4 linked regions of the Rattus norvegicus genome follow. The protein of the gene in region 2 interacts with the protein of the main gene of each other region in a pairwise test. Links are inferred from orthologs where the notes say so. Each region holds a gene or a part of one and is shown on either strand. Other genes may lie near its edges. The genes, in order: Crx, Qrich1, Nfix and Hspb8.

What was found.
Region 1: the proteins of Qrich1 (region 2) and Crx interact in binary tests that used the Homo sapiens proteins (3 or more experiments, as listed by UniProt). The two-hybrid records come from large-scale screens. The link is inferred for Rattus norvegicus from reciprocal best matches to the Homo sapiens genes QRICH1 and CRX.
Region 3: the proteins of Qrich1 (region 2) and Nfix interact in binary tests that used the Homo sapiens proteins (3 or more experiments, as listed by UniProt). The two-hybrid records come from large-scale screens. The link is inferred for Rattus norvegicus from reciprocal best matches to the Homo sapiens genes QRICH1 and NFIX.
Region 4: the proteins of Qrich1 (region 2) and Hspb8 interact in binary tests that used the Homo sapiens proteins (3 or more experiments, as listed by UniProt). The two-hybrid records come from large-scale screens. The link is inferred for Rattus norvegicus from reciprocal best matches to the Homo sapiens genes QRICH1 and HSPB8.

What each region holds. Positions count from the first base shown.
Region 1 is NC_086019.1:85,670,199-85,677,422, forward strand, and holds part of Crx (cone-rod homeobox protein), read right to left. Parts: intron 3,812-7,224; 5' UTR 3,780-3,811; coding exon 3,680-3,779; intron 1,244-3,679; coding exon 1,092-1,243; intron 1-1,091. UniProt on the Homo sapiens protein: Transcription factor that binds and transactivates the sequence 5'-TAATC[CA]-3' which is found upstream of several photoreceptor-specific genes, including the opsin genes.
Region 2 is NC_086026.1:118,094,302-118,102,306, reverse strand, and holds the start of Qrich1 (transcriptional regulator QRICH1), read right to left. Parts: upstream 6,397-8,005; 5' UTR 6,047-6,396; intron 5,332-6,046; exon of another isoform or gene 5,268-5,331; 5' UTR 5,208-5,267; intron 1-5,207. UniProt on the Homo sapiens protein: Transcriptional regulator that acts as a mediator of the integrated stress response (ISR) through transcriptional control of protein homeostasis under conditions of ER stress.
Region 3 is NC_086037.1:40,257,588-40,265,558, forward strand, and holds the start of Nfix (nuclear factor 1 X-type), read left to right. Parts: upstream 1-2,790; coding exon 2,791-2,817; intron 2,818-7,971.
Region 4 is NC_086030.1:45,833,878-45,841,880, forward strand, and holds the start of Hspb8 (heat shock protein beta-8), read left to right. Parts: upstream 1-3,430; 5' UTR 3,431-3,790; coding exon 3,791-4,157; intron 4,158-8,003. UniProt on the Homo sapiens protein: Involved in the chaperone-assisted selective autophagy (CASA), a crucial process for protein quality control, particularly in mechanical strained cells and tissues such as muscle. Displays temperature-dependent chaperone activity.

The sequences.
Region 1 (7,224 bases), on a different chromosome or scaffold from region 2:
TTGTGATCCTTGCTCTTCAGGAGGTTGAAGCAAGAAGATATGAAGATCAGGGTTTGCCTGAGCTGCAAAGTAAGTTCAAAGCCAGCCTGTGTGACTTAGTGAGACTCTGTCTCCCAGTGCCAATGCTCAAGTGGATGGTGCCACTCCCATGCACATATAAGCAGCACAAACTTGACCCAGTGGGTTTTAAAAGAGGAAGAAGAGGAGGAGGAAGAGAAGAAAAACAAAAAGGACATGAATGAAGCTAAAAGAGAAATGGAAGAGGAGGAGGCTCCTGGAGGTATTGGAAAGAGAGAGTAGAACTGACCTTAATTCATTGTATCCATGTATGAAATTACCCAAAGAATAAAGTTTTATTGCTTATTTAGTTTTTCTAAAGTATAATACATCATTTCCATATTTCTTTCCCTTCTTCTAAATCAAAGAATAATTTTTGCCCCTCCCCAGAATAATTTTTTAAAATGATAACTGCACTCATGTGCACAGACACATACATGAACATAATTAAAAATAAAATATGCACACACACTCAGCATTTGGGAGCCAGAGGCAGGTGGATTGCTGGTACTGGTCTACGTAGTAAGACCGTTGCCTCAAAATTAGTTTTAGCCAAGTAGCAGTGGCATACCCCTTTAAATCATAGAACTCGGGAGGCAGAGGCAGACAGATCTCTGTGAGCCTCGTCTATGGAGTGAGTTCCAGGACAGTCAAGGCTACATACACAAAAGAACCCTGTCTTGAACTAAAATAAATAAATAAACAAACAAACAAACATGTAAATACATAAATATCAAGATAAATAGTTTTAAGATTAAAAAACAAGAGAGATGATGATATATCTCAGTGGTAGGTCACGTGCATATGTGAGGCCCTGAAAGAAAACAGAGTACAAAGGGAAGGAGAACCCTTGGAGGACAGTGTGGTGAGAAGGCATCATATAAGAAGAGTGATATAAGGAATGTGAAGGGCATTTAGGCCATTTCATAAATATGCTACCCTTGGCCTCTTTCCTTCATGCACTCTGGATTTGACAAGGGCCCACAGAAGGTTACAGTAAGGGTTCAAGGGGTCCACGGAGCAGATCATCCTACCTGGACCCTGGACTCAGGCAGGTTGATCTTGAGAGCAACCTCCTCACGTGCATACACATCCGGGTACTGGGTCTTGGCAAACAGGGCCTCCAGCTCCTCCAGCTGGCTCCTGGTGAACGTGGTCCGCTCCCGCCTCTGCTTCCTAGGGGCACCTAAGTGGGGGCAAATTAAAGAACCTCAGGTGGTGGGTTCGGTCCCCAGCTCCGAAAAAAAGACCAAAAAAAAAAAAAAAAAAAAAAAAAAGAACCTCAGGTGGGCTAGGTCTGCTTGCTAGAGGCTAGGAGGTACAGAGGAATGCCTGTCCCAAAGTCCTTTCTGCACATCCATCAGCCTAAAGAAGGGGCTTTGATTGATTCCCTGGCCTTCTAGTGGTGGCTCAGTCCCCAGAGGAATTAAGAGAAGTATTCCAATCATTCATTCACTGGATTTGCCCCTCATTTTGTCTGTTTCATTCCTAACCCCTCCTTCCCTTTCTTCTCTTCCTTCTCCTCCTCTCTCTGCCCTTCCTCCTCTCTTCCTCCTTCTCTCTCTTCTATCCTCCCTTTACTCTTCCCCTCCCTTTTCTCCCTCCCCTTCTCTCTCATTACAACAGACTTTCACTACATAGCCCACACTGGCCCTGAAATCATGGACTCAAGAGATCCTCCTACCTCAGCCTCCCAAATATCTGCGGGCACAGTCACTGCACCAGACTCCCCTCTTGAGACTTTTTTAAATATTTTTTTATGTACATGAGTACACTGTTGTTGTCTTCAAACACACCAGAAAAGGACATCAGATCCCATTACAGATGGTTGTAAACCACCATGTGGTTACAGGGAATTGAACTGAGGATCTCTAGACGAGCAGTCAGTGCTCTTAACTGCTGAGCCATCTCTCCAGCCCGTCTCTTGAAACTTTTTATACTCTTAAGATATATTTGGTTGAGACATGGTGTTATCAATAACCATGACTCCTGCTTATAAAAGTGGTTCAACTTAATGTAAAAGAAAAAGGGGGCCAGCAAGATGGTGCAGCATGTATAGACACTTGTGACCAAGCCTGAGGACCTGAGTTCAATCCCTGGGACCCAACATAGAAGGGAAAAAACTACTCCCAAAAGTTGCTCAGACCTCAACAAGGGAGCCATGGCAAACATCCCTCCTGCTCCCTACCCTTCATGCAAAAATAGTGTTTTATTTGTTCTTCAAAGAAAGAGAAAGGCTAGATAGGTGGCTCCTGCCTTTAATTCCAGCACTCAGGAGGCAGAAACAGGCAGAACTCTGTCAATCTATAAAGAAACCTGGTCCACATGGTGAGTTCCAGGCTAAGGCTACATAGTGAGAGTCTGTTGAAAGGAAGGGAGGGAGGAAGAGAGGGAGGAAAGAAGGAAGAAAAGAAGAAAGGATGAAGGAAGAAAGGGAGTGAGAGAGGGAAGAAATAAAAAGGAAGAGAAAGAAGAGAAAGGCAAATGAGAGAGAGAGATCTGTTAAATAATAATGTATCATAGTAGAGCATGATGGTGAAGGACTTAAATCTCAACACTCTAGAGTCTTGAATCAGGAGGCTGGGACATGCTCAGTTATATAGAGTGAGGGGCTGGGGGCGTGGCTCACTGGTAGAGCCCCTGCCTAGAATCCCCCAGTGAGGGGCTGAGGGTGTGGCTCAGTGGTAGAGCCCCTGTCTAGAATCCCCCAGTGAGGAGCTGGGGGCATGGCTCAGTGTTAGAGCCCCTGCCTAGAATCCCCCAGTGAGGGGCTGGGGGGCGTGGCTCAGTGGTAGAGCCCCTGCCTAGAATCCCCCAGAGAGGGGCTGGGGGTGTGGCTCAGTGGTAGAGCCCCTGCCTAGAATCCCCCAGTGAGGGGCTGGGGGCGTGGCTCAGTGTTAGAGCCCCTGCCTAGAATCCTCCAGTGAGGAGCTGGGGGCGTGGCTCAGTGGTAGAGCCCCTGCCTAGGATCCCCCAGTGAGGGGCTGGGGGCGTGGCTCAGTGGTAGAGCCCCTGCCTAGGATCCCCCAGTGAGGGGCTGGGGGCGTGGCTCAGTGGTAGAGCCCCTGCCTAGAATCCCCCAGAGAGGGGCTGGGGGTGTGGCTCAGTGGTAGAGCCCCTGCCTAGAATCCCCCAGTGAGGGGCTGGGGGCGTGGCTCAGTGTTAGAGCCCCTGCCTAGAATCCCCCAGTGAGGAGCTGGGGGCGTGGCTCAGTGTTAGAGCCCCTGCCTAGACTACTACAGCTATGGTGGGGCATAGTTCCATGCTAATGTGCCTACCTAGAAGCCACAAGGCCCTGGATTACAGCCCAACAACCACTACTCCAAAAAGAGAAAAAGAAAAAGCTTTACAAAGAGATGGAATCCTCCTGATTCTTCTTCCAGACCAGTTCCCTTTCCCTCTTCTCCCTCCAAAGGGAGTCAATGTCATGACTATTTACTCCTCTGAATTCCCGGGGAACATGTAAAAGTGCCTGGAATACCAAACTCCTTTGCAAATGGACATAGAGCTGGTACAAGTTCCCACTGCCCCCTCCACCCCAGGAATGCTTTTTCTCCTGAGGGCAATGAACCTCAGAGGTTCTTAAAAGACAGACTGAAGGTTAGAAGGAGAACACACTTACTTGAGTATGGGACAGCCTGGTGCATCAGGTCCACACTGGGGCCACTCAGGGCCAAGGCATTGACCGAATAGTGAGGTCCCGGGTTCATATACGTCATCATGATCTTCAGAGACTAGGGCCCAGATTGGGTGCCTACAAGAGAACAGGGTGTTCATCCTACTTCAGGTCTTCTTTGGGATCCAACCAACCTTGCCCATCAAAATCAATCTCTCTCTCTCTCTCTCTCTCTCTCTCTCTCTCTCTCTCTCTCATTTTTAGAGGCAAAGTGTTGTGGTATATTCATTTTCTCCCAGCTGAGGAGGCAGAATTCTGTGACTTTGAGGCCATCCTGGTATCCTGGACTACATGAGTTTCAGGGCCTCAGTTCCTAGCTCTGTGTAATTGTCATTTTTATTTCCTCAGATGAAGTGATGAGATGAGAGCTGTACCCAAGGTGTGTGAATACACAACTTGGGCTGAGCCGGGAGTGTTTTTATCTAACTATCCCTAGGCCTAGCCCTGGAAGCTTCAAACCCTCATACAATCCAATCTTCTACAAGCCCAAACTTTGAAGGCCTCCATCTGTTCAATCTAGGCCTAGAATATTTCAACTCTAAGACATACTGAGTAAGTTCACCCTTTCTACCTCTTTCTGAATTCTGGCTAGCTGGTTCAATTCGACTGTCTGGCTCAAACACCTCCACAAGCTGGTTGATTCAGACTGGCTTCTTTCTGCTTCTGACTGAATTGTTCTGCTTGGGAAAACAACTTCTAAACTCCATAAACTGAACTACACTGACTTCACTGACTGACAAACTGGACAGAACTGCATTCAACTGAACTGCACCAAATGCAACTGAACTCAATCCAACTCCTCTCCCTGCAATGTTCTTAAGTAGCCTCTTTCCTGTCTGTTCTTATGGGAGGTATATATACTATGGTATATATATATATATATACTATCTCTGACTCATTCTGTCAAATCTTTCTTTGATTCATCATTTTGTCAGTCCTTCAATTTAGACATCATTGTTTGGAATTAAAGGTGTATCCTGTGGGCTTATCTATATTCCAGCCAAAAGGATTAAAAGAGTGTACTAAGGGTGTGTCTGTTCCAGCCAGATCACATAGACCTATTTCTTTGGGTATGATCCCTTACCAGAGCAGCCATGTTGCTAGATTAAAATTCCTTTACAGCCCTGGCTGTTGGCAAGGCACTCAATTATAGACCAAGCCACAAGATCCAAAAGAAAGAAAGAAAGAAAGAAAGAAAGAAAGAAAGAAAGAAAGAAAGAAAGGTACTTTTTTTATTTTGTGCAATAGAGTTTCATGTAGCCCTAGCTGACATTAAACTAGCCAAGGCTATAGCCAAAGCTGATTTCGTATTTCTGACCCTCCTACCTCCACCTCACAAATTTTGAGACCACTAGTATTAGCCATCACTCCCGAGGGGTAGGTGTGTATGTGTTTGTTTGTGTGTGTGTTTGTGGGGAGTGTTTGTAGGGGAGTATGGAGGAATGTTTGTGTATAAGGGTGTGTGTGTGCTTGTGTATGTGGGGGAGATTGTGTTTGTATGTATGGGGTGTACGTGTGTGTGTGTGTAAGAGTGGAGGGGCAGTTAAAATTCAACCCCAAGTTTATTCATCAGGCTACCCACCTCAGTTTTTTCATTTTTTTTTCTTTTTTTCGGAGCTGGGGACCGAACCCAGGGCCTTGCGCTTGCTAGGCAAGTGCTCTACCACTGAGCTAAATCCCCAACCCCTTCATTTTATTTTTGAGAGGTCTTATATAACTCAGGTTGGCCTCAGATTTTCCAGATAGCTGAGAATAACCTTGAACTCTTTATCTTCTTGTCTCCAGCTCCCAAATGCTGAGATCACAAGTCAGCACACCATACCTGGTTTATGCAGTGCTGGGTACCGAACCCAAGTCTTCACAAATGCTAGGCAAGCAATCTACCTCCTGAGCTTCATCCCCAGTATCTCCCTTGGTTTTTAAGATCAGGTTTCTCACTAGTCTGGAAATCGCACTGTAAGCTAGGATGTCTGGCCAGCAAGCCACAGGGATCCAGCTGTTTCTGTTTCACCAGTATTGGGATTACAAACACAACACCATGCCCATTTTTTTTTATCCTGGCCTCTGGGGAACAAACTCAGATCCTCATACTTGTAAAGTAAGAAGGTTACTGAATAAGCTATCTCCTAGATGTACCATTAATGAGACAGGAACTTACTACATAGCTCAGACTGGCCTTGAATTCATAGCAATACTCCTGCCTCCACCTACCAAATGCTGAGATTATTGTCAAAGTCACACTTTGATACTAAGTGCATGTGTTACATATACTGTATGTCCAGATTACAGATAATAATAGATCACTTAAATGTTTGTTATAGGACTGGAGAGATGGCTCAGTGGTTAAGAGCACTGAGTGCTCTTCCTGAGGTCCTGAGTTCAAATCCCAGCAACCACATGGTACCCCAGAAACCCCTCTGTAATGGGATCTGATGCCCTCTTCTGGTGTGTCTGAAGACAGCTACGGTGTACTTATATATAGTAAATAAATGAATCTCTTTTTTTTGTTGTTCTTTTTTTTTTTTTTCGGAGCTGGGGACCGAACCCAGGGCCTTGTGCTTCCTAGGTAAGCGCTCTACCACTGAGCTAAATCCCCAGCCCATAAATGAATCTTCTAAAAAATGTTTGTGGTTGGGGATTTAGCTCAGTGGTAGAGTGCTTGCCTAGGAAGCGCAAGGCCCTGGGTTCGGTCCCCAGCTCCGGAAAAAAAAAAAAAAAAGAACCAAAAAATAAATAAATAAATAAATAAATAAATTAATAATGTTTGTTATATTTTTATTTAGTGCCATTTAATATATAAAGTTTATGAACATATTTACTATATACTATGGATATTCAAAGAATAAAAGCCAGTGCTATCAACATGCACATTATGCCACTGTTTATGATTTTTAAACAAAGAATTTTAAACATATAATGTATAGGGCCTGGAAAGACAGCCCTGCAGTTAAGAGCAGTGGATGCTCTTGCAGAGGACTTGGATTCTATTCCCAGCCCACATATGGTAACTCACATCAAATTCCCTCTTCCTCTGTGGACATTGCATGTACATGGTGCACATGCATATATTCAAGCATATGCACATAAATTAATCTTTTTTAAAAGGGGGAGGGGGCTGGAGCCGGATGTATCATCACATGCCTTCAATCCTCGAACTTGGGGGCAGAGGCAGGTGGATCTCTGAATTTGAGGACAGACAGGTTTACAGATTGAGTTCCAGGAGAGCCAGGACTACAGAGAGAAACCTTGTCTCAAAAAAACAAACAAGAGGAGGAGGAGTAGAGGGGCGGAGAAGATGGCTAAACAGTTAAGAGCATTCCTTGCTCTTTCAGAGGACCCAGGTTCAGTTCCCAGCTCCCAAGTTGGGTGGTTCTACATATAACTTCAGTTCCAGAGGATCCTACACTCCTGGCCTCCAAAGGCAGCTGCATACATATGCACTCTTACCCACAAACACACACATGCACACACACATAAACATACATCTGCAC
Region 2 (8,005 bases):
CTTAGCTGGCATGGAGCTCACTATGTAAAGCAGGCTGGAGATCCACCTGTCTCTGTCTTCCACGTGTTGGGACTAAAGGCGTATAGCATCACACCTGGCCCATGATTTAAAAAGAAAAATAACAACACAACAGACCTTTATATTATAGAAACACAGTTATTTCCACAAAGAGAAGAAAACAACACACTGGATATGCTGGTAGCCTATAGAGACTCTGTTTCCAGGCCACTGCAAACTTCAAAACTACCCATCCCACTACAACATCCCACAAACACAAGTTCATCAAGCTAGCTTCAACCTGACAAACAAATGCTGTTTTGAAAAAAATATATATATATACACATACATATATACACACATATATACATATATACATACACATATACACATATACATACATACACACACACACACACACACACACACACATATCACATATATGGCAAACTCTCCCAAGAGTTCATTTGAGACAGGCAGACAGAAACACACACACACACACACTCTCACACACACACTTCCTTTGAGACAAGCTATCACCGACTGTGGAGTTCTGGCGGACTGGAAATCAAATCCAAGTCCCTACACATAGGCTTAGCTTCCAAGTGTATTTTAAAGCAATACTGTGAGCCAGGCTTAGTGGTGCCCACCTTTAATCTCAGTGCTCAAGAGGTAGAAACTTTATCTCTCTGAGTTCAAAGTCAGCCTGATCTATACAGTAAGTTCCAGGATAGCTAAGTCTACACAGAGAGAGCCTGTCTTAAAAAACCACAAAAAAACAAACAAACAAACAAAATCCCTACTAACTTTTCAATAAAATCCCACTGCCATCTATATAACCATAATTGTTTTTGGAAAACATGTTAACCTATAATATAGAGCAAGTTTTTTTTTTTTCTTTTTTCTTTTTTTCAGAGCTGAGGACCGAACCCAGGGCCTTGCACTTGCTAGGCAAGCGCTCTACCACTGAGCTAAATCCCCAACCCCTATAGAGCAAGTTTTAAGCAAGCCTGGAACACATCAGTCTGACTCCAAAAAAATTTCAATTAAACTAAGAAAAAAGCCATGTCACAATGGAATGAGGGAGAGATGTTTCTTGCCTCAATGCTACATACAATTTTGAAAATATTTCCTGACACAGAAACATACATCGGATGTGTTAAAAAAAATGGGGGTTGGGGATTTAGCTCAGTGGTAGAGCGCTTGCCTAGGAAGCGCAAGGCCCTGGGTTCAGTCCCCAGCTTGGGGGGGGGGGCACACGGGGACCCTCATACAATTTTACATGTCCTAGTATCATTAGTTAAGAGGGAAAAAAAGGAAAAAAATCAGAACAGTATTAGCTGATAAATTTTTGTATAATACTGTACTGTATTTTCCATAAATTATATTGACAGAAAGATACTTAATAAGTCATCCTTTTCTATTTTATGGTTATATTACAACAGTAGGGCAAACAATTCTTTTGTAATATGCTTTGCCCTAAAAATCTTCAACTCTTAACAAAATCATCCAGTCCCAAAAATTTACATAATAATGGTGTTAAATTCTTTAAGATGCTGCACACAAGACACAAAGGCTGAGCCTCCACAATAGACAAACACTCAGAGACAAAAGACTCCTAATTAGTGCCTTAGAGTCTAAGCTAAAGACCCGGTGAGAAGCAGTAAAGAAGTTAAGACTTCTAAAATCCAGAAGCTATGAGAATAGGCTGAGTAGCCCCAGTACCTGGAAGTCAGATGAAATTAACAATAGAAAACAAGAAAACAGTAGAGTTAGTTCATAGTAGGTAGTCCTTAAACAAGCATTTGCTTCTAAAGACCTCAAGTCTAGTTGCTTTGCAGGACACTGTAGAAGACAAACGCTCCAGTCAGCAGACCCACAATACTGTCATGTGCTAGTTACCAGACTGATAGGTTCACTAGTGCTAGTACTAGCACAATGCCTGACCAAGTTAAATATACAAGCTATTATGTTGTGACCAGAACACAATGAGATTCATGGAAAAGATTATTCAAAAAGTATCTCCAAGGGCACTTTCACTAATTCCTTTCTTCTTCTCTTTAGGTATTAAGAGATGACTCCAGTACTCACCTAGAGTCATTCATTTCTGCCTTCTGTTGTTTGTTTGACTAGTCAAGTACAGCACTAAGAGAGGGTATGACAAGTTCAGTCTGTGACTAACTGCAACCAATTAACTCACTACTTTTGGGCTAGCCAAGTTTTTTTTGAGGCTTTAAACTACTTTTTTTTTTTCCTTTTTTCTTTTTTTCGGAGCTGGGGACTGAACCCAGGGCCTTACCACTGAGCTAAATCCCCAACCCCGGTTTTAAACTTCTAAGAGACTATAGTCTGAGTCACCTCAGTCTTGCCTCTTTTGAGCCTCAAACCTCTTAAAAAGTAAGGTGTCACTGCCAAAGACGCAGAGTGGAAAACTTAGTTCTATTCTTACAAATGCTAACCCATTATAAAGTCTGTCAAAGAAACTCTCTCCTGGGCCACTCCATCATGTTTCTATTTTTAAATAACACGCACTTTCAACCAAGAATTTAAAATCAATGCCTGGAGACACGGCTCAGCAGTTAAGAGCACCGACTGCTTTTCGAGAGGTCCTGAGTTCAATTCCCAGCAACCATATGGTGGCTCCCAACCATCTGTAATGAGATCTGATGCCCTCTTCTGGTGTGTCTGAGGACAGCAGTGTACTAACATACATAAAATAAGTAAATTTTTTTTTTTTTGGTTCTTTTTTTCGGAGCTGGGGACCAAACCCAGGGCCTTGCGCTTCCTAGGCAAGTGCTCTACCACTGAGCTAAATCCCAAACCCCAAGTAAATTTTTAAAAATTAAATACTGGGGCTGGGGATTTAGCTCAGTGGTAGAGCGCTTACCTAGGAAGCGCAAGGCCCTGGGTTCGGTCCCCAGCTCCGAAAAAAAGAACCAAAAAAAAAAAAAAAATTAAATACTAATGGGTTATAAATTAATACAACCACTTACACTGGCTTGTGAAGTTGAAAATAACGTATATGACATCCAAATATATGCAAATATTCACAGTAGCACTGATATGTATAAACGAAGCAATTTAGAAGTTTACCAATGTAAGATAGAAAACTTAATGAAATATCCACAAGACAATACAGAAATGAACATCAACTACTACAGCTGCACAAAACAGGGAAACACAATAATAAACTAAGCTCGGGAGGCATAGGCAGGGAGATAGCCTATGAGTTCAAGGCTAGCCTGGTCTACAAGGTGAGTTCCAGAAAAGCCAGACGTAACATATTAAGATCCTGTCTCGAAAACAATAATCATAATGTGTATTTACATGGAATTCAAAACAAAAGCTATGCCTTAGAGATACAAAGGTGGTTAAATACAAAGACAAGTCTATCCAGCTGAAGAGATTGTTCAGCAGTAGTTCGCACACTGGCTGCTCTTCAAGAGACCCTGAGTTTGATACCCAAATAACAGCACACAACAGGCTCTAACTCCAGTCCCAAGGGATCTAACACCCTAATCTCTTCTAGTTTTAAAGACATTGCATGAAATGGTGTACAGACATATATGCACATAAAACACCCATAGACATGAGAGAGAGAGAGAGAGAGAGAATATGAGATTGAGATTATTGAGATTGTTATTCGAATCAGAATAAGTTTGTCTCCAAGAACTGAAACACTAATGAGAGGGAAGGGGTTGATGACATTCTATTTCTTAGAGGCAGTTACACTAATCCGAACTGTAAACAGTGTGTAAGTATTTTGACAACTTTAAGGCGGGTGTTACAGTGTGCTTGTATAGCATACACAAACCTCGGGGTTTGATCTGCAACCCACACAGAATGGATCTGTGGGCAGCACACCTATAATCCCAACACCAGGGACTGTAAAGGCAAGAGGCATGACCAGAAGTTCCATGACCATGTTCTACTGCAACAGGTCAGAATTTCTAAAACGTAGTCTCAAAGAAAAAAAGAACCAGCTTTCTAACACATCTCATCCACCTTTAGTTATTAAACCTTAGTGAGGGTAAAGAACCATTTCTTTCCCCCTTTGAAGATTGCAAAAATTTACATCTTTTTCTTCATGCAACCAAGTCAGTTTAAAAAGACAAATCACAACCCAGAACCAGAGCAGTTGTTTAGTGTAAAGCGCATGCTTAGCATGTGCAAGACTCTGCGTTCAATCCTCTGCACTAAACAACAGACAGACAGAAAACCTGCTAAAAACAGAAATTACAGTACAGTATTATAGGGAAAATAGTGAAGCTAAGAGAGGTCTTAAACCTGGAACTAAATCCAAGAGAGCAAAGTAAAGAACAGGTGTTCACGTAACACACCTCATTCTGAGGCCAATTCAGAAATATTCACAGAAAAAGCGTGGCCATTTAAAAAGCACAGAGGTAAGAAGCAAGGCACACCAAGTACAAACCACTACTGATTAAAAGCATGCAAGTTTATAGGTAGACATCCTTGATTTTGAAGCTGCTATGAAAGAGAACAGCCACACCCAAAGTCCCTAACTGGGTTTTGATTTGTGTTGGGTTTTTTTTTTTTTCTTTTTTCTTTTTTTCAGAGCTGGGGACCGAACCCAGGGCCTTGCGCTCGCTAGGCAAGCGCTCTACCGCTGAGCTAAATCCCCAACCCATTTTTGATTTTTCAAGTAACTCAAATTCACAACAACATTCACAACAAAATTCAACTGTTCCTTGAGGTTTTGTTTGAAACATTAACACAAGCTTTTGTAAACAGAAGTGAACTTTGTAAGTTCTTGGAGAAGTATAAAACCCAGAGAACTAGAAGTTATCTACCATGTAAATAATACTAGTTGATGGAAACACTGTTTCTGTTTTTTTAAAAAAAAGGCAATCCAGAATAAGAAAGCTTAAATGGTATAAAAAGTTTATAAACACATTGTCAACAAACAGACAGATTTTGTTGTTGTATTGTTTCTGTTGTTCTGGAAAGCCATTTAGGTTCTTAGTTGATGCTTTGCAATGTTAATCCTGAATGTTCCATTGACTTGATTTTAAGGACCGTTGCCTGATGAACAAATACAGTTTCCCTCATCAGCGGTTTTCTAGTAAGTAGCAGTATCTGGCAGACAACACCAAGAATGAATGACAAAATTTGTAAAATGTCAGTATTACCAAAGGGTTGGGGTAACGGACTGCACACATACTTCCAGCGATGAATGATTTTTAACTCACCAGTCACCATGTTGCATGTATGTCTGCTGCTTGTCCTGAGTTCTTAAGACTTCTAACATTCTGAAGAAGATAGAACAAAGAAGTTCCTTCCATCCTCAGCCTCTTTTTAAGTTTTAACTTTGTTCTTAAAAAAATACAGTATATTTTTAAAAAGTCATTACTACCCAATTTGACTGCTACTAAAAGCAACAATCCTTTTAGCTTGCTTTCTCTCAACTTTAATGTAAGAAAACTGTAAAATAAACTAGCAGATGTTTTGTCTTAGAAAAAAAGAGCTGCGTATTCTCCATCACAAACCTAGAATTTCCTAGACAGCAGATCACAGCACTGGATCAAAATGTTTTTTAAAAAAATGCTGAGAAGGACTTCAGTTACATAGATTTTATAGTGACACAGGCATATTTTAGAATTTTCTGTTGGATATTTCAGAATTTACAAAGAAAAAAAAGGCAAAGCACTGATCAAGTTAATCAAGGTTAAGAACCAGCCCTTATCCAGAACAGAAAAAGCAAGCCCCTCCCACCCACGCGGGGGTGACAAAAAAAAAAAAAAGGCTGCATTTAAGTCAGGATTTAAAGCGGAATTTTAGAGCTTGGAGGGTTTGATACCATACACATAGGAGGATCTCTTTCCGGAGCGCACAGAGGTGACGTGTATCAACTGCGCTTATGGAGGAATTGGTTTCTAATGGAAGAAAAGCGGGGCCTTGCAATGTTAACCTTCTCTCCTCGGCACAATGCACCAGTACAAGGTGAGGAAACCCATTGGGGACCCAATGCCCTCTCGGGCCAATAGGACTCGGTTTCCCAAGCAGAGTAGCACCCTCCCCAAGCACCCACCCAGTACATGGGCCTCGCTTAAGTAACAGCATTCTTCGGTTAGTACAAGCAATCCTGTCCGCCTCACGGAGGAGCGGAGCCGCAAGCCAGACCGCAAAGCCGCTATGTTTCTCCGCAGACCTAGGCCACCGCTGCCCGGGACGTCACGAGGGCAAGGGCCCAACCCTCAACCTTCCCCACTCAGCAAGCCGGTCGTCAGCCAGGCCGCCGACCCTCCTCTCGGAAGGGGCGTCCTGCGCGTACTCCGGACAGCGCGAGCAACCAAACCAACAGCAGGGCGCGCGCCACAAAACTGGGGGTCGCGGGGAAGCGCGCGCCCCGGAAGCCGTTCTAGCCCACGGGCCACAGCTGAGAGCCAACGGGAACGCGCACGTCGGGCGGCTACGCGCAACGGGAGGACCGCACAGCGCGCGCGTTACCGCGCAAAAAAAAAAAACACGCTCTTGCGCGCGCGCCTCTGCGCGCGCTCGTGCCGCCGCGCCCACCCAAACCTCAGGCTCGCCCCTCCCCCACCCGCGGGGCGGAGGCACGCGAGCCGAGGGACGTTCTCCGTACCGAAGCCGCCCCGAGGTCGCCTGGGCCCAGCGGCAGCGGCCCGCCCGCCCCCGCCCGCCGTTGTGTGGGGTGGGCCTGCTGCCCCAGACCCACAGCCTTGCTGCATTCCCGCCCTCACCAGAGCCCTCACCCGGCGACGTCACCGCCGCCGCTGCCTCCACTCTACCCTCCGGCCCCGCTTCACCGCCTGGGGCCTCGGTTCTGCCACCGCTGCTCCAAGACCGACAGGATTTTCTCCTCACAGCTCCCTGGGCGCCATCTTACATTCAACCCTCACGGCCAATGGGAGCCGAATGCCTCTCTCGCGAGAGTCGAAGCGTCGGATCCCGCGAGAGCTACCGCTCAGACTTAAAGGGAACGCTTCGGACTTAGAGGGAGACTGCTGGAGCTGAGAGCGTACCCCTCGTTGTGGGAAGGAGCACCACGCCCATTGACACCCCTCCATGCGGGGCGGAGCTTAGGCCTGGGGTTCAGTATCTCGGGGGTATTTTGCCCCTGTCCTAGGTTTACAAGCGTGCTTCTTGAACCCACCTACGGTGTCCCGCTAGCGCCTCCTCTACTTGCACAGTTCCACGCAAGGCGGGGCCGGGCCTAGCTCAGCCTCGTGGTTAAGGTGGCCCCCTCTCAAACCCCTAAGCTGGGCCCAACTTTAACAATTGTACCGCCTCTGGGAAACGCTCAGGGTGTTGATGTACTTACTGGAAAAGACAGCTTCAGGAACACCCACCATCAGCTATCATCTGAGATAAGTTCACCAGTCAGGTCCACCTTAAAGCGGGCCTTGGGTAGCCTAGTGTTTGTATACAGGGAAAATGTGCAAGGCTTTAAAGCTGCAGGCACTCAGCTACAGCCTCACCAGCGGCTCACAGCAACCCAGAAAGCCTTCAGCCTGTGGGAAGACCTTTGTGCCTTCTGCACTTGCTCCTGTCCTAGCAAACTCTCATCTTCAAACTCCTCACAAGTCAGTTTCTGAGACGGAGTCCAACCTAAGGGCTGGTATGGTCAGGAATCCCATCTCAGCACTGTTAATAGGAATCCAGGGAGTCTTCTGGGGCCTCCAAACTTGAAAGGCCACAACATTTATACTTTAGTTAACTATGCTTAAATAGTAGGTTTTGTTCTGAATGATCATACAGGGGATCATGTGTCTCTTGATCCGACTAGCCAGAGAGACACAAAACTAGATCCTTCCATAGAGCTGATAACTGCAATAGCATGTCTGGGGCTCCCAGGTTCATATAGGAAATGCTGACCTAATTGCAGCCATGCACCTGCCTTTAAGAACCAGGAAGTGCAGTAGTGATTTTGTGACTGGCTGTCTTCTGGGGAAGCCATTCTTCCAGAAGATATACGAGAGCCACCACTGCCAGCTCGCAAACCATGTCTCCAGGGTCCTCAGATACT
Region 3 (7,971 bases), on a different chromosome or scaffold from region 2:
CCCCAACTCCTACACTGTTTTCACATACATAGACACAGAAGCACAGCATGTCACATGCACACCAGCTATGCACACATACACACTGACATGGTCTGACACATGGAAACATACCTGATACATTCTGACCGTACACAGCTATGGACTGTGTAGACAGGATGACCTTGAGTTTGAACATATAAAATATGTTACATGGGCTAACATACAGGCACATACCTGGCATCCAAGAAAGGCATCCAATGCCTGGTGCACAAACACATATGCTCACATCCAGTTGGGCATGTTAGCATTGTCTGATACACACAGCTATTTATCCACTGAGATGCTCTTTTTTTTTTTTCTTTTTTTCCGGAGCTGGGGACTGAACCCAGGGCCTTGCGCTTGCTAGGCAAGTGCTCTACCACTGAGCTAAATCCCCAATCCCCCACTGAGATGCTCTTATGTACACTTACTGGCATGGGCTGACACACAGAGACCCATATCCTGGACACAGACATCCATCCTTGGCCTGCTCTGGTACACACAGATCTTCTCTATTGGATGGGTCCCACAGGAAAACAAATGCATGTGAAGCCTTCTCACAGGCAGTCCTTCTGTGACCTCTGGACACTTACCTGCTGGGACACACACACCACACACACACACACACACACACACACACACGGAAAACATGCTACAGATCTCCAGTGTGGCTGCACTGATATGTTGGGTCAGTGCGGACACACCCCGGTGTCCTGTGGCCTCACCTCCTGTCAGTCACACTCATATCTCCATCAATGATCAGTGTTCCCTGTCCCACCACGTCCCCTGTGTTTCGCCTAGAGAGGTGGAAGACACCTTTGCTGACTCACAGACACATCCATGGGTACAGCCACACCCACGCCACTACTCAGAATATACTGAGTATAAAAAAAAAATTGGCCCTGCTCAGACCCACACCAGACACCCCAGGCACATCGCCTGCCGCCCTATCTCAGAGGTTTTAGGACAAGGGGCATAGCATTCAGGGACATTTATGCACGCACATCCTTGTGCCTTGTCAGCCCCTACACACTCACCCACGCACACCTGGGCACCTATACCACCCCCCATTAGACAATGCATTACTGAGAATTGCCACAGCTCCTTGGCTCAGGAGGCTGACAAGGTGCTGGCTGCACCTGGCAATGGGAAGGAGCTGTGCCTTGCTAGGAGCTGCCTGGGAACTGAGGCACAGCCTTCCCACCCAACCTAGGGTCACCCAAGAGTTCTCTGTGCCCTCCTTCAGAGTGCCCAGCACCGTCTTCCCCACTTCTTCCTTCCCTCCCTCCCTCTCTGTGAAGGCTTTCCCTTTCTCCCTCTGTTCCTTGCTTGTTTTTTTTGAAACAGGGTTTCAGTATACAGGCCAAGCCAGCCTCAAACTCTGTAGCTCAGGCTGGTTTACAGCTCAGTCTTAACCTTCCTCTTGGAGCTTCTGAGTGGAGGGATTGCAGACATTTGCCAAACCACCCCGCCCCACCCCACCTTATTCCCAGCTCCAGTGGAAGTGGGGGGTCCTGGGCCTGCAACAGAGGCTGGAGCTTCACCACAATACAGATAATGTTCCTAAGTCCCAGGATATGTGCAAAGGTACGAGAGACATATGAAGGCTAAGGGTGGTGTGTGTGTGTGTGTGTGTGTGTGTGTGTGTGTGTGTGTGTGAGAGAGAGAGAGAGAGAGAGAGACAGACAGACAGACAGACAGACAGACAGACTGACTGACTTGGGAGAGTCTACACAGAACCTGCCAACTGTTTTGCTATCAGGATTGTAGATCAGCGTACCCTAGGCCTGGGGTATATTTGTGCAACACAATGTGTGATACGTGCAGTGTGTGCCCCTGTACAGTGATACTTTGTGTCCTTTGTATGGGGGCTCCCATGTGTCAGTGTCACCCTGTGTCTGGGTTGCCACAGCTGTCTTCCAAGATATTTTGGCTTGGCTGTGTGTTGGTGTGTCCTTGTGTGTCCGGGGTGACAAGGTATGGCTATGTGATCCTGTGTGTGTCAGTATTCTGCAGGGACGTGTGTGGCACGCGCATGTATGTTAGTGCGGCTCTCAGCGTCGGTCTGCATTGGGACATGTGACAGTAGGTGGTGTGTGGCTCTTGCTCGTGTCTGTGCCCGGTGTGCACCGCCGTCTGCTGTGACTTCATGAGGACTAGTCCCTGCGTTCCTTCGTGACATTTGTGCCCGTCCAAGCCCTGCTGCGTGTCAGCGTGTGTCGGCGCCCGAACGCCGGCCAGCACGTGTCGGGGCGGCCGCGTCGGTGTGCGTCCCCGCGTGTATGTGTGTGTGCGTGTGTGCGTGTGTGCATGTGTGTGCGCGCCGGCCGCGCTCACCCGCCCCGCCCGCCCCTCCCCGCGCCCCTCCTCCCGCCCGCGCCGCCCGCCCGCTCCCTCTCCCCGGAGTGCGCCGCTTCCAAACTTTGTCTAAACTTTCACTTTCACAGCGCGGCGGCGGCGGCGGCGGCGGCGGTGGCGGGCGAGGGCGAGCGGCCGAGCGGCGGCGGCATGGAGTAGACGCGCGGCGGCGGCGGCGGCGGCGGCGGCGGACGCGAGAGGCAGCGGCGAGCGCGGCGGCGGCCCGGAGCCCGCGGGGCCGAGCCTGTGAGCGCGGAGCGGCGGCGGGCCGAGCGGGGCCGCGGGCCGGGCGGGCGCCGCGCGGCGGAGGCCGGAGCAGCGGAGCCGGAGCCCGAGTGCCAGCCAGCGCGACGCCGCCTGCCGGGCCTGCCCTCGCCGCGGCCGGCCTCTGCGCTCGCGCCCGGGCGCCCAGCGATGTACTCCCCGTACTGCCTCACCCAGGTACCGGCCGCCGCCCCCGCGCCCCGGGAGGGCCGGGCTGGGGTCCCGCAGGCGCGCGGGCAGCGGGCGGGGCGCGGGGGCGCTGCCCCGGGGCGCGCGGCGGGAGTGCGTGGAGAGGGGGCGAGGGGCGAGCGCGCGCGGCGGGGCGCGGCGGACAGCGGACCCCTGCTGCTGCGCGGCGACGCGGCGTGGTGGCAAGCGCGGGCGGGCAGGGTGACACGGCGGCAGGAGGCAGAGTGGCCCCGGGGCGCCGGGGAGCACGGGCGGGCGGCGTTCCCTGCGCGCGGCGCGGCGCTGCCGCCCCGGGGTGGCAGTGGCGGGCGTGTGGGCAGCTGCTCTGCGTGCGGCTGGGGTGCCCCGGGCGGCCCGGGCGTCTCCCCAAAGTCTTTGTTCAGGCCTCGCATGGGAGCGGGGCTGAGAAAATGGCGGGGCTCCCAAATTTCGGAGGGGCAGGGGAGGGGAGGGAGGGACGGGCGTGCTGCCAGCCCGGGCCGCGCCTCTCTGCGGATCCTGGACGTTTGCAGACGCGGCTCCCCGGCCCCAAACTTTCATCCGTGCAAACTTTCCGGTCTCAAAGACCAGGACCGCCGCGGCGTGGACCTGGAAGTGTCCGGAGGAATCCCGGTCCGCCACCCGCAGGCGGGAAGGGGGGAGCAGCGGTGGCCACCGCAGGTCGAACCTGTTGGGATCAGCCGTCGGGTCAGCCTCGGGCACAGCAGCGCCGACCTTGGCGTGCTTCGGGAGCGCGAGCGCGAGAACGCGTCCCGCCTCCAGCGAAGTTCCCTGCGCAGTGTATAGCGGAGGCTGAGGCCTGGAGCATGCCTGATTTGCCACCCCTCTCTTTCTAGCTGCGACTCCAGGCTCTGAGAGGGCACCAGCCAGACCAGCCCAGATCTAGAGGGGCCCTCACAGCTCTATCTGCAGAACCAGACCAGGGCAGGTGACAGATTTCAGCAGGCAGAGGGGATTTGTAGAGGTTGTCTAAGTCTTGCATGCTGGCCAGGCCTGTCTGTGGGAACTCTCTAGGCCAACCCTGAGTCCCTAATGGCCCCCTTTGCTAAAGCCAGGGCCCTTTCAGACGAGTGCTGAAAGTGCCACCACCTTAGAGTGGGAACACACACCCATGGTGTATATAAATGACCAAGTATACGAGGAGCATGCCAGGATGTTTTGAAGGGCAAGAAGGTATATGCAGGTGGATTGCAGTTCCAACGACTCAGCGCTCTTGTAGTCCCAGGTACTAGTTGTCTGTGTGTCTGTGTGTCTAGAATCTGTATGTGACTCCTGTAGGCTGGCAGTGGCCAGACTTCGTGGCACAAACACAGATGACCGGGCGAGATGATGTGTCTTCCAGTATAAATCACACGCAAGTGTGTGTCACTGGAGGAGCCCATGCTCGCCTGCCCTGCCAATCTGACCACCATAGCAGTATGGGTCTGTTCCTTCAAGTTGTCAGCTACCCTATGTTGGGTTCCCCGCAGGAGGACCTGGTCAGCTATCTAGGTCTGAGCTGTGGCTACCTTCAGGGTGATTGGTGATCTGCTCATCTCTATGGCTGTGTAGTGGGACAAAGACCCCATGTTCCAGCAGCTACCTCATCTACCAAGCTGCTAGCCTACCTCCACTCCAACGTCGCCAGACATCTGGGCTTGCCCCCTCCTCACCCATGGGTCAGGTGAAGCACCCACCGTTGGAGAGAAAATACCAGCTGATACACTGGTGCCAAGGCTACGGAGGGACTGGGATGGCCCCCAGATTTGGGGTGATGGCCTCGGCTTGGCTCTGTGGCACTCCAGAAGGGAATACGGGCTCCAATCTGTGCGTGTTACATCTTGCACATGCCAGGCTGCCTGGGAGGGGAGTGGGCACAATCTCACCAGTCTGCCAGCCCTGCATGGTGGGCAGGGAAACCCCTTTGCTTAGGGTCCTTGGCAGCCTTCGGTCATCAGGGTCTGGCTGTCCCTGCCTCTCCGCCATGTCTCTTTTTCGCAAACCTTTCTACTGCCATAGTTTGCCTCCCATCTTTGCTTTTCCAACAACCTCTTTCGCTGGCTGGCCTTTTTTCTTTCTTTCTTTCTTTCTTTCTTTCTTTCTTTCTTTCTTTCTTTCTTTCTTTTCCTCTATCTCCGCTCTTTGTCTGTTCCTTGTCATCTCTGTCCTTCTGTATTTCTAGCTGTCCCTGTCTCTGGTTGGCTCTGGCCTCCCCCCTTTCACTCTTGGACTCTCTCTATACCCCCTTACCCCCTCTCTCTTTTCTTTCTTTTTTTTCAAACCAGAATTGGCTTCAATTTTAAAGTCAATAAATGATTGAACAGAAGCAAGCTTGGAGCAGCAGGGCTTGGTGGGGCGGGCAAGAGGAAGGGTAGTGGGGAGGATCTCCTAGAAAAGAGAAACTGATCCAGCGGTGGGTGGGGTCATTGCTGGAGCTGCTGAAGCTCTTCACAGCCACACGCCTGGGTCTCAGGTAGACATCAGGAATCGGATGGACTTGGTGGGCCCCTCAACAACGGGGACACACACACACACACACACACACACACACACACACACGTATTATCGCTGCCAGGGGAGATCATAAACATTGTATTCACCTTGACATCTAGTCACATAACTCTTGTCATACACTTCAACACACGTGTGCCCCTGGGGATGAGATACATGTATTCATTCATGTAAGTTCAGACATGAAAACCTCCCTGTGAAATAGCCACCAAGGCAAAACCGTGTGCCTGTGTTCCTAAACACCAGCACTTGCACGTATCAATCTCAAGGCAAGCCGTGCGTGGATATGCCACAGAGTCACGGTACCCGTGGCACAAACTGGGCCCACAGCAGGTGTGGATGTACTCACAAGGCTGAGGACGGAGGGCAGTGGGCATACGTCTTTACATGGAGACATGACATCATTGGCTTTCAAGTTGTGAACGAGACTTTCTCTAATTCTTAGATACACACCCATGCCTTCCCACTCCTGGCCGAGAGAACATATATGCTACTATGTAGACAGTTGCAAACACACACAATGACACACATGGGCGTACACGGGATCACCCCTGGACGGGCACCTCTGCCAAGCTTCCCCATGGTAGTCGTAGAACCTATGATCTTGCACAGCCGTGTACCCTCTTGAAGGTGAGCTGGGCCTGCCCTTCCTCTCTTCCGCGTCTGGCTTTTTCTGGCTCACTGTGACCATTCTTCTGTCCCTGTAAACTGTAGATTGCTCTTTGTTCGTGAACCAACTGGTACTCACAGCTCATTTTTACATTGGTTGATAATGGATGTCTTGCTGTGTAGCCCAGGCTGGCCTTAAGTTTACAGTGGTCATCCTGGGCTACAGGGGTGAACCATGCTCTATCTTGCTAGTTTTGCTTTTGTGTTTGTTCGATTGGGACACGAAGCCCAGGCTAGCTCTGCATTGAAGATAGCCTTAAACTCTTGACCCCCTTGTCTCCACTCTTAAGAGCTTGGATCACAGGTGTGAGCCACCGTGCCTGGAGCTGCCAGCTTTTCTCTCCGTGGTCACACACCTCCTATCCCTAACATAAAAATGAGACAACACAGGTTGGGTCACTTTGGGTACCAACCACACTGGGGTCCTGCGAAATGCTCCAGTGGTGGGCCTGGCTGAATTCAGAGCCATGGCTCGGTTGAGTTAATAATACATCCCCAAAAGGAGCTTGGGTTCTTGGCCTAGACATGAGTGTCTTATGCAGTTTCTGGGGCTGCCAGATGGAGGGTGTGGGGGCAGAGGTCAAGGACTAGTCAGCAGGGGGCTTAAGTTTCCTCTCTGCATCTCCTGGTCTTGGGACTTTAAGGACAGGGTTTTCCTGGTCTGTGAAGTTCATGTATATCTTTTAGTCTGTAATGCAACTCACTGTCATGCTGGGCGTGTGATGTGTGCTTGAGAAGTGTCCCTGTCATCATCCGGACCCTGCCTGCATAGAGAAGGTTGATCATGAAAGTGAGAAAAGAGTGGAGTCCTTTGCCACTGTGGCAATCTCCATGTTCTTCCTGGAAGAGGAAGCATGGACTTGGAAGGAAGGGCAGGGCTCAGCGCTTTTCCTCTTATTGGGGTCCTGTGGGCTAAGCTGAGGGTGTCAGACATCACAGTAGGGCAAGGTGAAATGAGGAGAGGGTCTTCCCTGTCTAATGGGAACCAGCTGTCTGTTGGTAAAGAGAGCACACGTGGATCTGGATGAAGACCGGACAAAGCCTGGAGACTTAGTTCATTGCGTTAGTGACTTAGAGATGTCCTCCCTGCTCCAAGCCACTTACAAGTCTACACCGCTTGTGATGGGGATCCGCCATAGGACAGAACTCTTCGTGTGTACTTGACAGTGATGGCTGTGGGCAAGATCCTGAAGTGATTCTGGATCCAAATGTTTTTGTTTTTGTTTTTGTTTTTTCTTTTCTTTTTTTTCGGACCTGGGGACCGAACCCAGGGCCTTGTGCTTGCTAGGCAAGCACTCTACCACTGAGCTAAATCCCCAACCCCTGGATCCAAATGTTTTAAACTGCAAAGAGTCTCTGTCCCCAGGAATGGGGCTGGAGTTGGCGGTCTTGCACTACCTTTTCTCCAGTTGATCAAGACAGGCAGAGAAGAGCCCTGTCTACTCCCTGCAACTTGGTACTGGCATACAGCGTCAGTCTCTGGTGAGCCTGATCAACAGACAAGAGGGGTGTCTATTCTCCTGCCTCCAAAGTCCTGGGTGTGGGGTCAGGAGGATGAAGGGATGGCTGCCAGAGCTCTCAAGACTCCCATATTGTGATCAGCGTGCCGGGTGGCCTTCCAGCCGCCATGTCATCGGGAACCCCTATGACCGTGTGGGCGTTCTTTTTCCGTTGTTTTCTGAGTCTGTTGATAGGTGCTACCTGCATTTGACTTTAAGGACCATCTCACATTTTCTCTCTTCTGTATTTGGTGACAGCGTGGTTGAGGTGTGCATCACCATGCCTGTTCATGCCTTGGTGGCACGTCCTTGTCCAGGCCTTGGATAACACTGTAGCTGTCACAGTTACCACCATTGTGGCTGTGTTTCAGAGTGGAGTGAATGTGTCACAGTGACAAGCAGTCCCTCCTGCAACAATGGGTTGGCCTGTGTTTCTCTGGAAGGAAAGCAGTCGTTGCTAAGTGTGTGTCGGCAGCTCACACAT
Region 4 (8,003 bases), on a different chromosome or scaffold from region 2:
GCCACCCCCACCCCCGCCTGGTCCCAGGCAAGGCCAGATTTCTCCCTGTTCATCCATCATACAGGGTGGCTCGCCTCATAATTAGCTGCAGGCTCACTCGGCCCCTCCCAGCTGCAGTCTATGCCCAGCCATGACGTCAGCTTAAGTCTTCTGGCACAGTGAGCTCATCCTGTATCGCGTAGGGGCCACCCAGGTACTGAGGGGGGCACATCAAGGCAGGACAGGGGGACCCTCTTCCCACTGGAACAAAAGCCAGGGGTCTCATCCCACCCACTCAGTACAGATCTAAGATTCAAACTGATCGGCATTTCCACCAGAGTTCCTGACACAGGCCATCTGTATGCACGGGCCACCTATTTCCTCATCTGAAAAATGGGTTAACAGTAACAAAGACCGTTGTGAGCATTTCCCGACATGCCTGCATCGTCTCACCCTCGAGGGTGATCCTTCTCAGTATCGTCATTTTGAGTAAAGTATGTCCTGTGAGGACAGTTTTCTATCAAAACAGCTTCTCAACCTGGAACTCAAATTCCCCAACATGCCCAGTCCAAAAAGAAAGCAGAACTGGGACCCCAAGACTTTCAAAGGGAAAATGACAAGCTTCCTACCTGTTGAGGATTGGAACCCCAAACCCAAGGCGCCTGTAGGCTAAAAGATTCCTAAATTCATTTTTTCCAAGCAGAATGGAAGAGTAGGCGTTTCTAGAAATGGTTCTTCCCAGATCTGAGCTTCCAGAACATCCCACCTGGAGAACAGAGCATCTAGACATTTGCTATTATTCAGAGGAGAGAGAGAAACCCAGCCTGGTGCTAGCTGACAGGGGAGGCTGAAGCAGGGAACTCACAAGTTCAAGGCCAGCCTAAGCTGAGAGTGAAGTCAAGGTCAGCCTAGGGAGACTAATAAGAGGCTACTTGAAAATAAATAAGGAAATAAAAGGGTCTCTTTACCTGCTTGCATAACCCCACTTACACACACACACACACACACACACCATACATCACACACACACACGCACCATACATCACATATACACACCCATACATACATCGTACATCATACACACACATCATATATCACACACACAGGCACACACACATCATACCTCACACACACACATCATACATCACACACACATAAACATATGCACACACATCATACATCACATACACACACAGACATACACACACACAAACATGCATACGCACACACACACATCATACATCACACACACACATCATACATCACATATACACACACATACACACATCGTACATCATACACACATATTATATATCACACACACACAGGCACACACACATCATACCTCACACACATATCATACATCACATACACACACAGATACACACACAAACACGCATACACACACATATACACACACATATCATACATCACACACCATACATCACATATACACACACATACATCATACATCATACACACACATCATATATCACACACACACAGGCACACACACACATCATACCTCACACACACACACATCATACATCACACACACACATAAACATCCGTACACACATCATACATCACACACACACATAAACATACGCACACACAGCATACATCACATACACACACAGACACACACACAAACACACACACACACACATTACAGATTAGGATTCCCCCTATGAGGCGTAGCATAGTAGGATGACATAGTAACATCTAGAAAGAACATCAAGACAGGGCCATCTTAGGTAATGAGGAAGGATAGATGTAGGCGAAGGACACATAAGTCATGGAAGAGGTTAAAAAACATTTTTCTCCCCGAGTTTCCACCCCATGATCGACTTTTTTTTTCTTCTGTATGGTGGAGCTGTGGATAAAGCTGCGATTGATAGTTAAAGTGTAAAACACATAAGAAAGCTTCGGCGTGGCTGTTCTGAGTACGGAGTTCACAAAGTGGGGCTCCAGGGCGTGGCTGCTCTGTGTACAGGGGTTCGCCGAGATGGAAAGCATTCGGGACTGAGCAGGTGTTCGAGTGGCTATTAGCTAGCCTCAACCTGTTGTGTGATGTTTTTATTTGTGAACCCACCTCGATAAGTGATTTTACAAAGGGAGGAGGGTTGACGGTGCAGCTCGCTCTGTGGTGAAATGCTTTCCAGCATGTATAAGGCAGTCAATAAAAAAAAAAAAAAAGGTTTCTGATGACTTATGATTGTTTACTCTCCTGCCGAATGGGACAGTGGTAAGCTCGCAGCTCTCAGTGCGCAGAGGGGGAGGATTCCACCAGCTAATGTTTACGAAGCACTTGAGAGCAAACATTATGCAACCAATAAGTTGAAAGTCGAAAGCCTAAAAGCATAGACTCCTCTGCAAAGTCTATGACCTCATGCATTCCTGATGACGAGTCCCAGAGCAGGCTCCTCTCCTGCCCCACTCCCTCAGGTGGAAACCAGGCGGCTCAGGCATGCCTTGGAGTAATATTGCCGCTGATCGAAATTCTTCCCTTGACCAAACTTCAGGCAGACTCCTCCTCGGAGGCCCAGGGGTGTGTTCTCTTCACCCGGTTTTAGCAAGAACATGTCAGTTCAGCTGCAACCCCCATAACTCCATGTGTGATCACCCCCTCCCATGCCTGATCAGTTGCTCATCCTCCATTGACTTTCAAAGCAAGGTCTGGCCACCCGAGTCTATCCATAGAGGAATTCAGTTAGATCCGTTTATCTGGAATTCCCTCTGGTCCCTGAATTCCCCTCAGTCATTTCCCATCCGTTGACCCCCATTCTGCCTCCAGGCTGTGAATCCCCAGTGGCTCAGGCTGTGCTGGAAGTTGAGCTCCATCTGTTTTCTCACCCCAAGACCTACCTACCCCAATAGACTCTGCCTGACAACGTCCTGCTTTTCATAACGTAAACTGTCATTTAAAAAACAAACATCATTCTCAGAAGTCTGAGGCTGTAAGACTTGGGCCATACTGTAAGAGGGGATTCCGTGTGCTTCTCGATCCAATGAGGGGTCATCTCTCCTCTTCTGTGAGTCCCCAGAGTGGGAGGCAAGACAGAACACGTCTGAGGATGGTATTTCCAGAGTGTGACCTGAGCCCTCAGCCAGGCGGAGGGTTATTAATAGTCTGGTTTTAGTGCCCTGCGGGGCACTGGTGCCTAGAGTGGACGCTGCTGGAGGCAGAGGGAGGGCGGGGCGGAGCCGAGCAGGAGGAGGAGATCGTGCCTGAGAGGCTGGCTGGACTCGGACGCTACGGCCCCTCCCAGCTCCCCACCCGCTCCCGGAGCCCAGTTGTTCTCTCAGCGGATTCTCAGGGACTGGTTCATCACCTTTGAATACTCCTGTGACAGGAGGCGCTTGCAAAACCCGCCCCCAGCCCCCAGCAGCAAATAAATAGAAGGCTCCCAGCCCAGAAGCCAGGAGAAGTTTCTAGGCGCGTGAGTCCCCGAGCTTTTATTAAACTCCTGGCTGCGCTCAAGACCTCAGCAGGCTTTGGCTGGGAGCCGGGGCAGCCTGGGAGGAGGGCAGTCGGTGGCTTGCTGATAGCCTGGTGAGGTGGGACTGAGAGAGGCCCTCTGGGATTCTGCTGGGCCCGATTAGGTGGTCACCTTTGTGAGCCAGGACCCCAGTGCAATTCTGGGCAGCGGATGTTTGGGCTTGTGGCTAAAGGAAGATCAGCATTTTCTGAAGTGGAGAATTAAACTCTGAAAGCCATCTCAAGCCACATCACCTTGCTGTGTGACCTTTGGGTAGGTGGCTCCGTCTCTCTGAGCCTCTGTTTCCCCCTCTAAGCTCAACAAACACCATGGCTGACGGGCAATTGCCTTTCCCGTGCTCCTACCCAAGCCGCTTGCGCCGAGACCCCTTTCGGGACTCACCGCTCTCTTCCCGCCTGCTGGACGATGGCTTTGGCATGGACCCCTTCCCAGACGACTTGACAGCCCCTTGGCCCGAGTGGGCTTTGCCTCGGCTCTCCTCTGCCTGGCCTGGAACCCTAAGGTCTGGCATGGTACCCCGAGGGCCTACAGCCACAGCCAGGTTTGGGGTACCTGCTGAGGGTAGGAACCCCCCACCCTTCCCTGGGGAGCCCTGGAAAGTGTGTGTCAATGTGCACAGCTTCAAGCCGGAAGAACTGATGGTAAAGACCAAGGATGGATACGTGGAAGTGTCAGGTGAGTGACGGGCCGGCAGGGTTGTGCCTCTGTGTGTGTGTGTGTGTGTGTGTGTGTGTGTGTGTGTGTGTGTGTTGCGTGCTCCCATGCCTGTGCTCTTATGCGCGTGCTCCCAGGTTCATCCCAGAAAGAGCTTCAGGAGAAGGGACTTGTGACAGACAACATGGCTCAGGTGACCTCAGGTCCCAAGAATGCAACCCACAATGTTATCTTCAGAGACAAGTGTTTCTCAATGGGTGACGGAATGAGCGTGGATGTGATGGAGTAGCTGGGGTCCTCAGGACACCGTGCCCCACCCGAGAGCCGGCAGAAGCCAGGCTAGATGTTTCGAGGTGGACAATTTAATATAAAGACCAGATGAGTGCACGCAGGACTTCTGAAGGCACGGGGAGAGGGGTTAGCACATTCCAAAGCCAGGGGCACAGGAGCCAGGGTCAATGCAGTCACCAGATGAGGAAATGAAAGCTGGGGTGGTAATGTCAGCAGTAGGGACCTTATCCTAGGTGGAGAGCTGTCTGCCAGGCACCACGCCGAACCGTGTCCTCAGTGCCAGACAGCACCTGTGTTAGTACAACCAGAGGACATGGCTGGTGCGTCCACATCTCCCTTTTGTACTTTAGGAAACTGAGGCACAGAGAGGTTTGCATAGTTTGCTCAAAGCAACAAAGGGTGCCAACCCAGACTGCCTTGGGAATTGGGGTGGAAGGGAATATATATACATATATATATGCATATATATATGAATATATATATGAATGAATGAATGGCAGTCATCCCGACTGTCTACTCCCCTCTTGCAGCTGAGGAGGCCCAGTCCCAGGCCATACAATGAGTCAGCAAAAAGACCAGAGTAGAGCTTAGGCCTGGTCACCATGCTAGGCCCAGGGCTTTCCTTACCCCATTGCACTCTGGGAGAAAGAATACATACACAGGGGGCAAAAAGAGGAGACAGGAAGCTTGGCCCCTGGTAAGCTGGGCCTCAGCAAAGCTTTCTCCTGCCTCCCTCCCAATTAACAGGCCATTAAAAGGAGCTTGTTCTTGGCAGAGGCCTGTCAGCCAGGCAATCAATAACCGCCACTCTGTAAGCATTATCTGGGCAGGGACAAGTCCGAGCAGTGTGCGAGGCGGTGTCTTAAAGTCTCTCCGAGTACAACTGTAAACATCAAACGCCGTGGGTGTGGGAGTGGTGGGGCAGGCGGCACTCAGGGGCGCGTGCTGACGTGGGTGTGGGCTCTCTGCACTGGCTGGCGAGCCAACCCTCGCTAGCCAACGGGACGGCTCCTTTTCTCTTCGGCTGTCTCGTTCCTTTTCTGGGCAACGAGCTCCCTCCCCGTGGGTCCTCGGGAAGGATGGCGGTAGCCCCAACATATCTTTTATCTATATGGTAAATGCGCAGATGGTGCTCAGGGTTCGGATGGTGAGTTTGTTCTTGTTAACAGCAGCCACAGCGGTGGCTGTGGTACGGGCACCTGGGAAGGTCCTAGTAATAACACGTGACAAACATTCTTCGAGACCTGGGTTCAAATTCCAGCCCTCCTGTGGGGTAGCAGCACGGTTGCAGACTAGGAAGTCTCTTCATCCCTCTGAGCCTCAGTGTTCCCATCTGCGCAGTGGGAATCGGGACCATTCCTGTCAGGCAAGGCTAATGGGAAGGTGTAGTGAATGCAGACGATCTATCTAGAGTGTCAGTGAAATGGAGTTAATAGCGCGTCCTGCTGACCGAGCCCGTCACCACCCCGCCCTGGTTATTTTAATTATGGTTGTTTAATCCAGAGGCTCCCAGATCACCTACACCCTGCAGTCTCTTCTCCATCCCCATTAGAAGGTACTCCTTAACAGGTGGAGTCTGGCAGCCACAGGCTGAGATCTCAGCCACGGACCTTAGTGATCCTGAGGTTCCGGGTGTGCCCCAGACCCCCGATGTCTCTGTCTGTGAGACGGGAACACTGGAAACTAACACACAAAATAAACCATGTCCATGATGCGCAGCTAGACTGTGGCCCCAGCTCTAAAGACTCCGAGCCCACAGAGAGTGAACGATGACAAAGCTTTCTTTCTCTCATGAAAGGGGTTTGAGAACTAAGATCCGGGGCTCCCTGCAAAAGCAAAGGGAAGTCGGGGAACAGAGTCAAGGACAGCTACAGTGCAAACAAGAACCTGTCCTTCTGCAAGCAGGTTCAGGCTGGACCTTTGCTCAACCTCCAACTAGGCTGGCTTACTGGTTACTCTTGATGGGTTTTTTTTAAAGGAGTGTGGGTAGGCTTGTAACACCACCCCTGCCCATTTTACAGATTGTGAAACTGAGTCCTAGGAAGGCTAACTCACCCAACAAAACCAACCACCTGCTTCTTCTCTCGTAGTACCTAATACTTAAAGCCAGGCCTGCCCGGAGGTTCATAGGCTTACTCTAGCTCTAACTGGGAATCTACTTTTAGAACACCCCACTCCCAACCTCTGGCCTCTGTTTCAACGCTGGTCTCAGAAAGAGGTTAGGGCAGATTTGTCATCTGCTTCCGGATGTCTGGGAAGTGGAGGAAAGGCTATTTGGAGTTTTGAATGATTCCAGATGAGCCAAAATCATGAGTAAGCCTCCTCCTGGTGCAGGGCTTGGAGCCTTCCGTAGTCCGTGCAGTTTACAGACCTGAGGCGGGGTCATGATTTCCATCGCACCTGGCAGTCTCCTGCAGACAGCAGCCAAGAATGATCCCTTCAAGGGTTACTGGGCCAGGCTTTGGCTAGGGGAAGCCTGGAAAGGCTTTTGTCTTGTCCCCAGGCCCTCTGCTCTGCCTGGGAATAGCACCTTTCTTTGATGGGTCTGAGCACTTCCCCCAACACCAGCGTTTCTCTCTCAAAGCCACAGCTTTCTAGAGCTCCTAAGAAACATCACAGCCATGCTGTCCTGGGATGGCAGAGGCGATCTTTCTGTACAGACAGCCATCTTCCCTTCCTTCTGATAAATAATATATATTATGCATAAACAATTTAATATCATTCACAAATTTATTTTTATGTTAATAATTATATAGAAACGATTATGTAAAATATTTGTGTTAATATACAAAATAAGTGTATTAATAAGCAATAATATAAATTATATAGTAAAACATAATGAGTTATGCTTGCTGGTGTAAACATTAGACACACAATAAGCCAGGCGCGCATGCAAATGATATGAAAACGATATGCAAATGACATGTAAATGAAGCACAAGAATGACCCACCTTCTTTAACACATTTCCAAATTACACATTTCCTTCCAGCGATCTTGGAGTCTTTCCTGCTCAGAGACCCTCGTTCCTTCTCCTCAGCCTGAACCTCATTTTCAGAGCCTGGGCAGGATTCATAGACTTCTGAGGATCCCCATTTCCAATCTAAACATTGATGTGAACGCCAAGGTTCACCTGTGCATCTTGCCAGGGCCGTGTGACTCACTCCATTGTGTCTCCCAGAGCTCCAGTTAAGGCCGTTTTCACAACGTTTTAGAGACTACACGGAGGGCCAGAGAAGGGTAGAGCCCTGTCAGGAAGTGTTATCTAAGCAGGGATTGACATCTGGCTCTTGGGACTCTGCCCACCTCTTCTTCCAGATCTTTGCTCCATGACTTCTGGGGTCACTTGATCAGGTGTGTTCAGGGCAACTCGGCCTCTCTGATTCACTGAGAGTCTCTGAATTTTAGCTTCTCTATCCACTCAGTGCTGGCAATGAAGTCCCTGCTTAAAGGAGTTGGCATTAAGTAAGTTGCTGAGAACAGAGGCCCAGCCTACATGGGTATCCCTTGGCTTACGATGGGACCAGGGCCCCCAGAGACCTCATCTGAAACCCAAAGTATCCCAAGTTGGAAATGTA